Linked DNA regions of Canis lupus familiaris. The protein of the gene in region 1 purifies or fractionates together with the protein of each later gene. This does not show direct contact. Links are inferred from orthologs where the notes say so. Each region holds a gene or a part of one and is shown on either strand. Other genes may lie near its edges.

Evidence for each region.
Region 2: the proteins of NUDCD3 (region 1) and KLHL9 purify together in Homo sapiens (co-immunoprecipitation; 3 studies listed by BioGRID and IntAct, with this or other methods). This does not show direct contact. The link is inferred for Canis lupus familiaris from reciprocal best matches to the Homo sapiens genes NUDCD3 and KLHL9.

The regions. Positions count from the first base shown.
Region 1 is NC_049237.1:14,165,007-14,169,422, forward strand, and holds the start of NUDCD3 (nudC domain-containing protein 3), read left to right. Parts: upstream 1-1,365; 5' UTR 1,366-1,664; coding exon 1,665-1,856; intron 1,857-2,506; exon of another isoform or gene 2,507-2,811; intron 2,812-4,416.
Region 2 is NC_049232.1:40,905,373-40,909,635, reverse strand, and holds the start of KLHL9 (kelch-like protein 9), read right to left. Parts: upstream 2,922-4,263; 5' UTR 2,560-2,921; coding exon 706-2,559; 3' UTR 1-705.

The DNA.
Region 1 (4,416 bases):
TTTTTTCCACCATCTACAGTTAGGCTGCTTCGTACATTTGTAATATGGTTTGTTTGGCCATATTCTGCATTCCAGTCTGATGTTAGGAAATCATGCATGTAAAAGATCCACTCAAAGTGCATTACAGACTGAGAGATACCAATGTGACGATTAGGAAACATTTATTTATGTTTCAGATTCCATATTACAGCTGTTAAGAAACTACCACACGTTCAATTTTGGCCTCAAAAAATGATGCTTGTAGGGCAGCCCTGGTGGCGCAGCAGTTTAGCGCCGCCTTCCGCCCAGGGTGTGATCCTGGAGACCCGGGATGGAGTCCCAGGTCAGGCTCCCTGCATGGAGCCTGCTTCTCCCTCTGCCTGTGTCTCTGCCTCTCTCTCTCTGTGTCTCTCGTGAATAAATAAAATCTTAAAAAAAAAAAATGCTTGTATTTGAAAAGACAAAACACTCCTCTCATTTCCAACTCCAATCTGCGTAAGACTGGGTTTCTTCATATGTTTCGATCAAAACGTATTGCAATGCAGTGAAAGTGAAAGGTGGGAGACTCTTGCTGTTTTCTATTAAGCCCAACACTAAAGACATTTGTGAAAAATGTAAAGCTATGCTACTCTTCTGGGTAAACTTCATTGCTTTGAAGAACATTATTTCTTCATAAAAATGTTAACACGTAATGTGCTTGTGTATGTTTTTTTTTAAAAAAAATGAATAAAAAATTTTAAATTCTGAGTTTTAACATCCGATATGCTAACTATAAGAAGGGCGCACATAAAGGGCCTTTGGAGTCTTCAGTAAGCGTCAGGAGTGTGTGACGTCACTGCCCTAGGGCAATTTATCCGGGTCTAACTCCATCTACGGTTAATTGGAGCCCATGGACGGCGGCGATGTACGCTCCTTTGCAGATCCTAGTTGCGGAGAGCAGCCAGCTGCGTACCCAACCTAGCAACCTCACTGCGGTTTCAAGGTCCTAGGGACCCAGCTCCTCCAGGGCTCTCAGAACCAGGGCATTGCCGCTGACGTCACTCACTCTGCCGCCCGAGGGCAGCTCCGGCCGGGCCCCTCGTGCCCCCGAGCCGGCGTAGTTGTCTGCAGCTTCCGGCAAGTTGCACTGGGCGGCCGAGGGCGTCACGTGAGCGCGGCGCGCGCAGGTGGACGAGCCACACCCGCCTACACGTGTGCATCCCCAAGCCCCGAGCTGGTTGCGCAGCTCTCACCCCCGCGCCCCCGCCCGGGCCACCCAGCCCGCAGCTTCCTCCGCGCCCCCCTGGCGGGCCCTCTCCCCCCGAGGGGCGGTGCTCCGCCACCACGTGACAACAACGGGGCCCACGTGACGCGGCCCGAGCCACACCCCTTCCGCCCGTCTCCAACATGGCCGCTGGGCGCTCTCGGTCCTGCAGGCGCGGGCTTTCTGGCGCCTAGGAGCCACGTCGGGGCCCACGTGTGGTCCTCCGCGAGCCTGCCCGGGGAAGCCGGTCGGGCGGCGGGGGCGAGGCTCGCGGCAGGGTCGCCCCGGTGCCCACGGCCCGCCCCGATAGTCGGGGGCCGGGCGGGCGCAGACCGGAAGTTGCGCCGGCGGCGGAGCCGTTACTGCAGCGTGCCGGAAGTGGCCGTGGGCCGGCGTCCGGGCCGCGCCCGCAGTGAGCAGCGTCCCTGCGGCCGGCGACGCCATGGAGCCTGGGGCGGCCGAACTGTACGACCAGGCCCTGCTGGGCATCCTGCAGCACGTGGGCAACGTCCAGGACTTCCTGCGCGTTCTCTTCGGTTTTCTCTACCGCAAGACCGACTTCTACCGCCTGCTGCGCCACCCGTCCGACCGCATGGGCTTCCCGCCCGGGGCGGCGCAGGCCCTGGTGCTGCAGGTAGCGCGCGGCGGGCTGGCTGGCGGCCCTGGCTCGGGGGACGGGGGAGCCCGCCGCTCCCGGCCTCAGTTTACCCCTCGGGCTCCTGTCCGGCCCCGCCTCCCGCGCGCCGGCCCGTCGTGCGAGAGCGGCGGGCGCGCGGCCACTGGGGTGTGGGCGGGGGGCAGGAGGGGGGCGCCGGGAGGGAGCGCGAGACCGGGCCGCAGCGGTGAGCAGGTGTTTCCGGCCTGTGCGTGCGTCGTCAGCCGCCGCACGCAGGCCCGAGCCCCCGGCCCCGAGCCCTCCCACTCCCCGCCCCGAGCCCCCCCCCCCGGCCCCGAGGCGGGCCTCGCTCGGATCTCGTCTCCCCTTGCGCCGTGCTCGCTGCGGTCCAGGCGGGGACGGAGCCGCGCAGGCCCGCGGGAGGACAGGGCTGTTTGCGGGCAGCGACTTAGAGGCGGTTTGGGAGTCGCAGAAACGTGGTTGAGGGCAGGTGGGGCCGAGCTGGCAGGAACCTGAGAAGACGGAGCTGCTGGCGGCCCTCCCGCAGTCTGCGGTGCGGTGGCAGATGGCGTCCCCTGAAGTCAGGCTGGGCGCTGCGGGCGGGTCAGGTGTCCTGTTCCTCAGTGCTTGTGTGCAGACGCGTGAGCTCGGGGTTTCAGTGGCCAGCAGTGCCGTCTGGGTGGCCGGGAAGCTGCGGGTTGGTTGCCCGCGGGCCCTTAGGGAGGTCTCGGTGACGTAGAGCTTGTGCAGCCCAGTGTGGCCGGCGAGCTGCTTTCTCAGCAGGGTCAGGTGAAATCACCAGAGCCCTCGCGGAGCTGGAACTCACAGCTCCCTCTTTGTGATTTCGCATCCTTGTGCTCTACTACTTAGCCCGTGGCAGGCGGGGTGGCATTAGCATGTAGGAAAGACCCGGAGGAGCAGAAAGAACCATCACGGAGCACCTACCAGGCGCTAGTCCTCACCGACGTGAACGGTTGGTGTCTGCTCTCGTTTTACCGTCGGGGCGGTACCAGCGTGTAGAACACCTGTTACTTCCCAGACTGGATGGCCAGTTTAACCAGGGGAGTGGCAGCAAGGAGAGGGATGGATGGGAGAGGACCCGGGTGATTGGAATAAGGATGAGCGGTACCTGCACTGTTTGCTGAGTTGAGGAAGAAGAGCGTAGTTTTAGACAAGTTAGAATTTCAGGCCAAGCGTTAAGGGGCGGGAGAGGAGGAACCAGGGTGGTTTAAGAGCAGCACCTTGGGGGACAATCCCAGCGGACAGATGGAGAAGCATGGGGTTGCATGCGTGCTGGGGGGTGAGGGGAGTGGCGAGGGCAGCAAGTTGCACAGAAATCCAGGGGTTGCTTTCCAGCCTTTCTGACGTTGATTCCCAACAGCCTGCACTGCCCAGGAACCTTTAAGAAAGCAGACACGCCCCAGGTATTTTGTTGGGCGGTTGAGGGTGAGTCCTGGGAGCTGTAGTTCTGTGCACAGGGGCATTTGGCAGGAGGCTTGGAAAGGCAGGGTCAGCACTGGGCAGGGGCATGTTGTGCATGGGGCACGAAGATGCCGAGTCACCCTGAGAGACTCGCAGTGGCACTGTGGCTTAGGTCGTTTGCCTCCCAGGAGTTTTCTTCTCTGCACCTCACTTGGTAGAAGAGACTCTTCTGTGGCCACCCACCCACAGCACGTGTGTGGGGTCTCTTGCGAATGCAGGCAAAGAGGGTGGATGGGGCTGTTCGGATGCTCCACTATGGACCTTGAAGGTTTCCCGATGTTGTGGGGTTTGGAGTGTTGGTGTGGTGTGAGACTTTCCTGCTAGTTCTGAGGGCTTGGGCAGTCCAGATGCAGAGCTCTAAGGACCCTTCTTCAGTAGGAAAGATCACTCCAGGCCAAGATGTTTTAGGATCTTTAGTTTAGAAGGACATTTCATTTGTTCCGTTTGAGACCCTGTGCTCATCCTGGGTCCAGTTTGAGAAGCCTGCTTGGTGAGGCCTGTTGCCTAAGAGTCAGGAAAGCTGGCTCCATCTGGGCTCACTGAACCTACTGGGAGAGTCCTGTCCTCTGTGTCAGCAGAGAAGGTTGACGGGAGGTCACAGCCCTGTCTGCCAGCCCCACAGTGCTGCGGTTGTAGAGTGCCAAGCCACGGGAGCCCCGAAGCAGGTGGCAGGTTAGAGGAGCTTGCGGGGGGCGGGGGGCAGAGTCAGGGCACCTCGAGGAGCTCAGGCCTTGCCCACATCCGGGGAAGTTCCAGGGAGGAGGGACAGAGAAGGACTGTTCTTTTTTGTGGAGTTAGAGGATAATGAAGGTCTGGGACGTCAAGAGGACGAGTGGCTCTAAGGGCGAAGTTGGTGCCATCGCCACAGGGTGAGCAGTGTTGTTGGGTTCCTGGGAGGAGTAGAAGGGGTCTGGGATTGGTGCCTGGTTGCTGCTCTGGCATTGAGCGCTGCTGGGATGATTTCGTGCTTTCCTCTTCCACTGGCAGGGCCGAGGTCAAATTCCTTATCTTCTCTGGGCTCAGTTTTTTCTCATCCTTGAAACGCCGGTGCTGTCTCCCTCATGGCATCTTCTTGATGGTTTGAGAGAACATAAAA
Region 2 (4,263 bases), on another chromosome or scaffold:
GAAGAAAAAAAATTTAATTTAGAAACAATTTTCCTACAGCCGAAATACCAATCAATTTTAAAATTATATATGTATGTGTACAGCTGTATGAATGTATATACACATGTATGTATGCATACGGATGTGTTTATGTGCATACATACCTATATTTCCTCTCTCCCTTTCCCTCTCTCCAGAGATACAAAATCCTGACTTAGGGTTTTGTACGCTGTTTATTTCTCCTATCTAGGAAACTTCACATATTCTGAATGCACTCGATCTGGTGAATTGTCAACGATGTCAAAAACTATTATGAAAAAAGGGAAGGTAGGTGATATTTGGCGACCTTTTACTATTTTAGGTCAGAGCAAGCAGCCTCCCTTCGATGTTCTGAAGTGAAAGATGAAAACTTGCAGCTTTGAAGCATAAACGAACATAATTACACATTTACTACAATCACCTACAATTTGACTTACACAACACCACAAAGACATCTAAAACATTTTTCTACATATCTTTTTTACATTTGTTAAAACAGCTGGCTATGTTAAATACATTTTCAGAATGCATTTGTTAACCATACGGATAAACACACTGAGCCAAGCAATACAAATAACATCAGTTACCATTTAACCTAATAACTGCACCAATCACTTTAAGAAGATACAATTTAAGGGGAAGTGTGAGATCATCCATGATGCACTGCAAAGGTACTACATTTTAGTCCTAAGAATGGTCTGAAGGTGCTGAAAGAGGGGATTCTCTAGAAGGTGACCCAGGGTTTTCCTCGGGTGGAAAAACTGTGAGAGTACAAGCTCGAATCCCACCAAGTGACTCTGGAAGGTCAAAAACTTTATGCCATTCATCCTTTTCTGGGTCATATTTCTGGACAATTTCTACCATACAACGATTATTCCAGGAATATCCACCCACAACATAGATTTTATTTTCAAAGACAGCAACTCCAACATCACTCTGACCTCTTAACATAGCAGCAATTGGTGTCCACTGGTCAAGGGTTGGTGAATAGTATTCACAGCTTAGAACATCATCATAATCACTTGTTCCTCTGAAGTGATTGCCACCAATGACATAGAGCTTGTCTCCAACTGTACACATGCAGTGCAGACCTCGGACTGTAGTCATTGGAGCCTTCTGTGTCCATTTGTCTGTATCTGGGTCAAAACACATGAGCTCGTTTTGGAAAGTGTCATGAGTAATTCCTCCTGAAATATACATCAAGCCTCCGTACACTGTTCCAGCATGGCCATAGTGGGGCTCGCTCATTTTTGCAACATAGCTCCACTCATTCATCCTTGGGTTGTAACATTCTACTGTGGCCAGTTCACCAGCCGCACTTCGCCCACCAACAGCATATAAATGTCCTTTAAGGGCACTCAAGTGGAAAAACGTGCGCTTTTCATTTAACGATGCAACCTGCATCCATTTGTTGTACCGAGGATCAAACCTGAAAACTGTATCAACAGCAGTTTTCCCTTTCGTATCATAATTACTTTGACCACCAACTACATAAAGAAAGTTTCCAATGACAGCAATACCATGCTGGTAACGAGGAGCATCCATGGGGGCAAGAGATCTCCACTCTTGTGCCCTTTCGTCATACATCCGTAATTCTTTGCTGACAACCAGCTGCTGCCTCAAAACTCCTCCTAATGTGACCAAGTGTGTCGAGTCAGATCGAATGGCAGTTCTATCTGACTGCATCACTGGCTGCATATATGGCATCATTTGGTAATTGCTAGCTTCCAAAAGCAAATTCACACAAGTATTGTCTGTTCTCATGAAATCTACTGTCTGCACGTAATTGATGAGATCCTGGGGTGTCATCAATGGAAATCGAATGTTCTTCATTAATTTTGCAGCATAATCCATCCGAGGGTCTTCCAATCTTAGCCAGCGACAGGCGGCCTTGAAGAGCTCAAGTTCAGTGCAGTGCTTAAGGCTGTTACTAGAAAGCACAAAGGCAAGCCGTTCAAAGGGGAGTTTTAGAAACTCCCCGGTACTCAGCAATGCAGGAAAATTCTTCAGGATGAAATTATTGACGTACTTATCCACTTCGATCAGATTGTAGGTGTTAGCAATCCGCCCAACTTCAACACAGTTGTCTAAAGAGACTCCCGAAATAAGGAACACCTTACAGAAGTCCAAGACGGGCAAAATCTGTAAGAAGCTGGCAGCTTCAAGGGTGTCCTGAAGATTGTCCATATTGAGAGAAAGTTTTGCAGTATAAATGAAATCAATTATTTTCTTCAGCCCAACCTTGTTCACCCCATGCAGCTTAATGCACATCAGATCCTGTTCTTTCATTCCGCCTGTGAACATTGCCTTGAAGTAATCACTAGCGGACGCCATCATAGCTCTGTGAACGGGGAAGATTTCATCTCCGTCGCCCGGGACCAGGGTCACATCACAAAGCAAGCCTTCTACTCTGAGCTGGTCGAAGCCTTGCAGCACCACCGAACTGTGAGTGTTGCTGGTAAAAAAACGCGTGGTTCCTGCCTTGCAGGGCTGTAGGTGGGCGGAGACGCCCATTTCGCCGGTGCCGAGGGACACTTTCATGGGAAAGCCTTCCTCCCGCGGAGACCCGGGCCCCCCGGGGAACGAGGCTGTGGCCTGAAAGCTCTCAAGGAGACGAGCCGCGCACGCCCCGAGCAGGAGGGCTCGCTTTCCTTGATCAAGGGCGAGCGGTCACCGCGGCACCCCGCCAACACACCCGCCGGTCATCCGCTCAAAACTGGTGGCGGGCAGGGCCACGGAGGGCTGCGGACCTCAAATCTGATTGCTCTGCGGACGATTCATCACCTGAAGGCAGTGAAGCGACCCGGTTCGCCCGGTCCGGCCTGCGCCGCCGCTCCTCCAGCAGTTCCGCTCCCGGCCAAGGGGGAGGCGCCGCCACGTACTGCGGCCGGCGACGCGGCGAGGCCGGCCCACCTCAGCGCGCGGCCCGCTGCGCCCTCCGCGCTCGCTGGAGCGTCGCCGCGGACGCCGGCGGCGGTGCAGGGACGACGGCCTGGACCGCGGGCCTGGCTCGGGCCTGGGCCTGGAACGCGGGCTCTGCCCCGGACGCCGAGCCGGTCCTTCCGGAAAGGCTTGGTCCCAGGATCCCCCGGGCTAGGAGCGGCCGCGGCGGCTACTGCGCCTGCGCGCCGCCGGGCCCCGTCAGCGGGCGGGCGCGTGGGGGCGGGGAGCAGCGGTGCGGGAGGCGCCGAGGGCGGGGGCCGGGGCGGGGGGCCGGGCGGGGTCGCGCGGAGGAGCGGGCGCGGCCTGGGGCTCCAGGGGCGCCCGCGTGGTGCTGCGCGTGTGCTGCGAGCTTCTCACGGCGCCTGAGCTCTCCTCCTAAGTTCATACTTTTTTTTTTTTTTAAAGATTTACACTTCCTGGCTTCTGCCTTTTGAATAACGATGACGTGCGGCTTTTGTATAGATGGGAAGGCAACGGGGAAGAGGCGGCGGCCCTGGGGGCAAGATGCTTAAAACTGTTCCTCGATAAAGCACTTGGGCTATGATTTTTATCCTACACCTCAGTTACCATTTTGGTTCACATATTCAAATTACTAGTCGTTTAATACACGGATCATGGGTCTCTAAATACCAAATTGTGACCACGGCACATGAATAGTATAGCCTGGGTTTTGGCTGTGCAGTGCAATTCCGTTGTAATTGTTCTCCACTCACATTTTTATTTTTATTTCATTTTATTTTATTTATATTTTTATTTATTTATTTTTTGTTGGTGTTCAATTTGCCAACATATAGAACACCCAGTGCTCATCCCATCAGGTGCCCCCCTCAGTGCCCATCACCCAGTCACCCCCACCTGCCACCCACCTCCCCTTCTATCCACTCACATTTTTTTTTAAAGATTTTATTTATTTATTCATGAGAGACACAGGCCGAGAGAGAGAGACAGACAGACACAGACAGAGAAGCAGGCTCCACGCAGGGAGCCCGATGTGGGACTCGATCCCGGCTCTCCAGGATCACGCCTTGGACGGAAGGCAGACGCTCAACCACGGAGCCACCCAGGCATCCCTATCCACTCACATTTTTAGATGGCTACAGGACTTTCCGATGATTCCACATACTATAGTTTCTTTTGCCCATTATTAGTTCCTGAATAAAAACTTTGTACGTCATTGTTTTATAGACTCCAATAAACTAAAATCTCAGCACAGAAGTTTCCCCTGTTTTTAGATAAATCCTAAGGACAGGATTCAAGACGTATAAAAATTTCTTTCCAAAATATGATCACCAGCAATGTTTG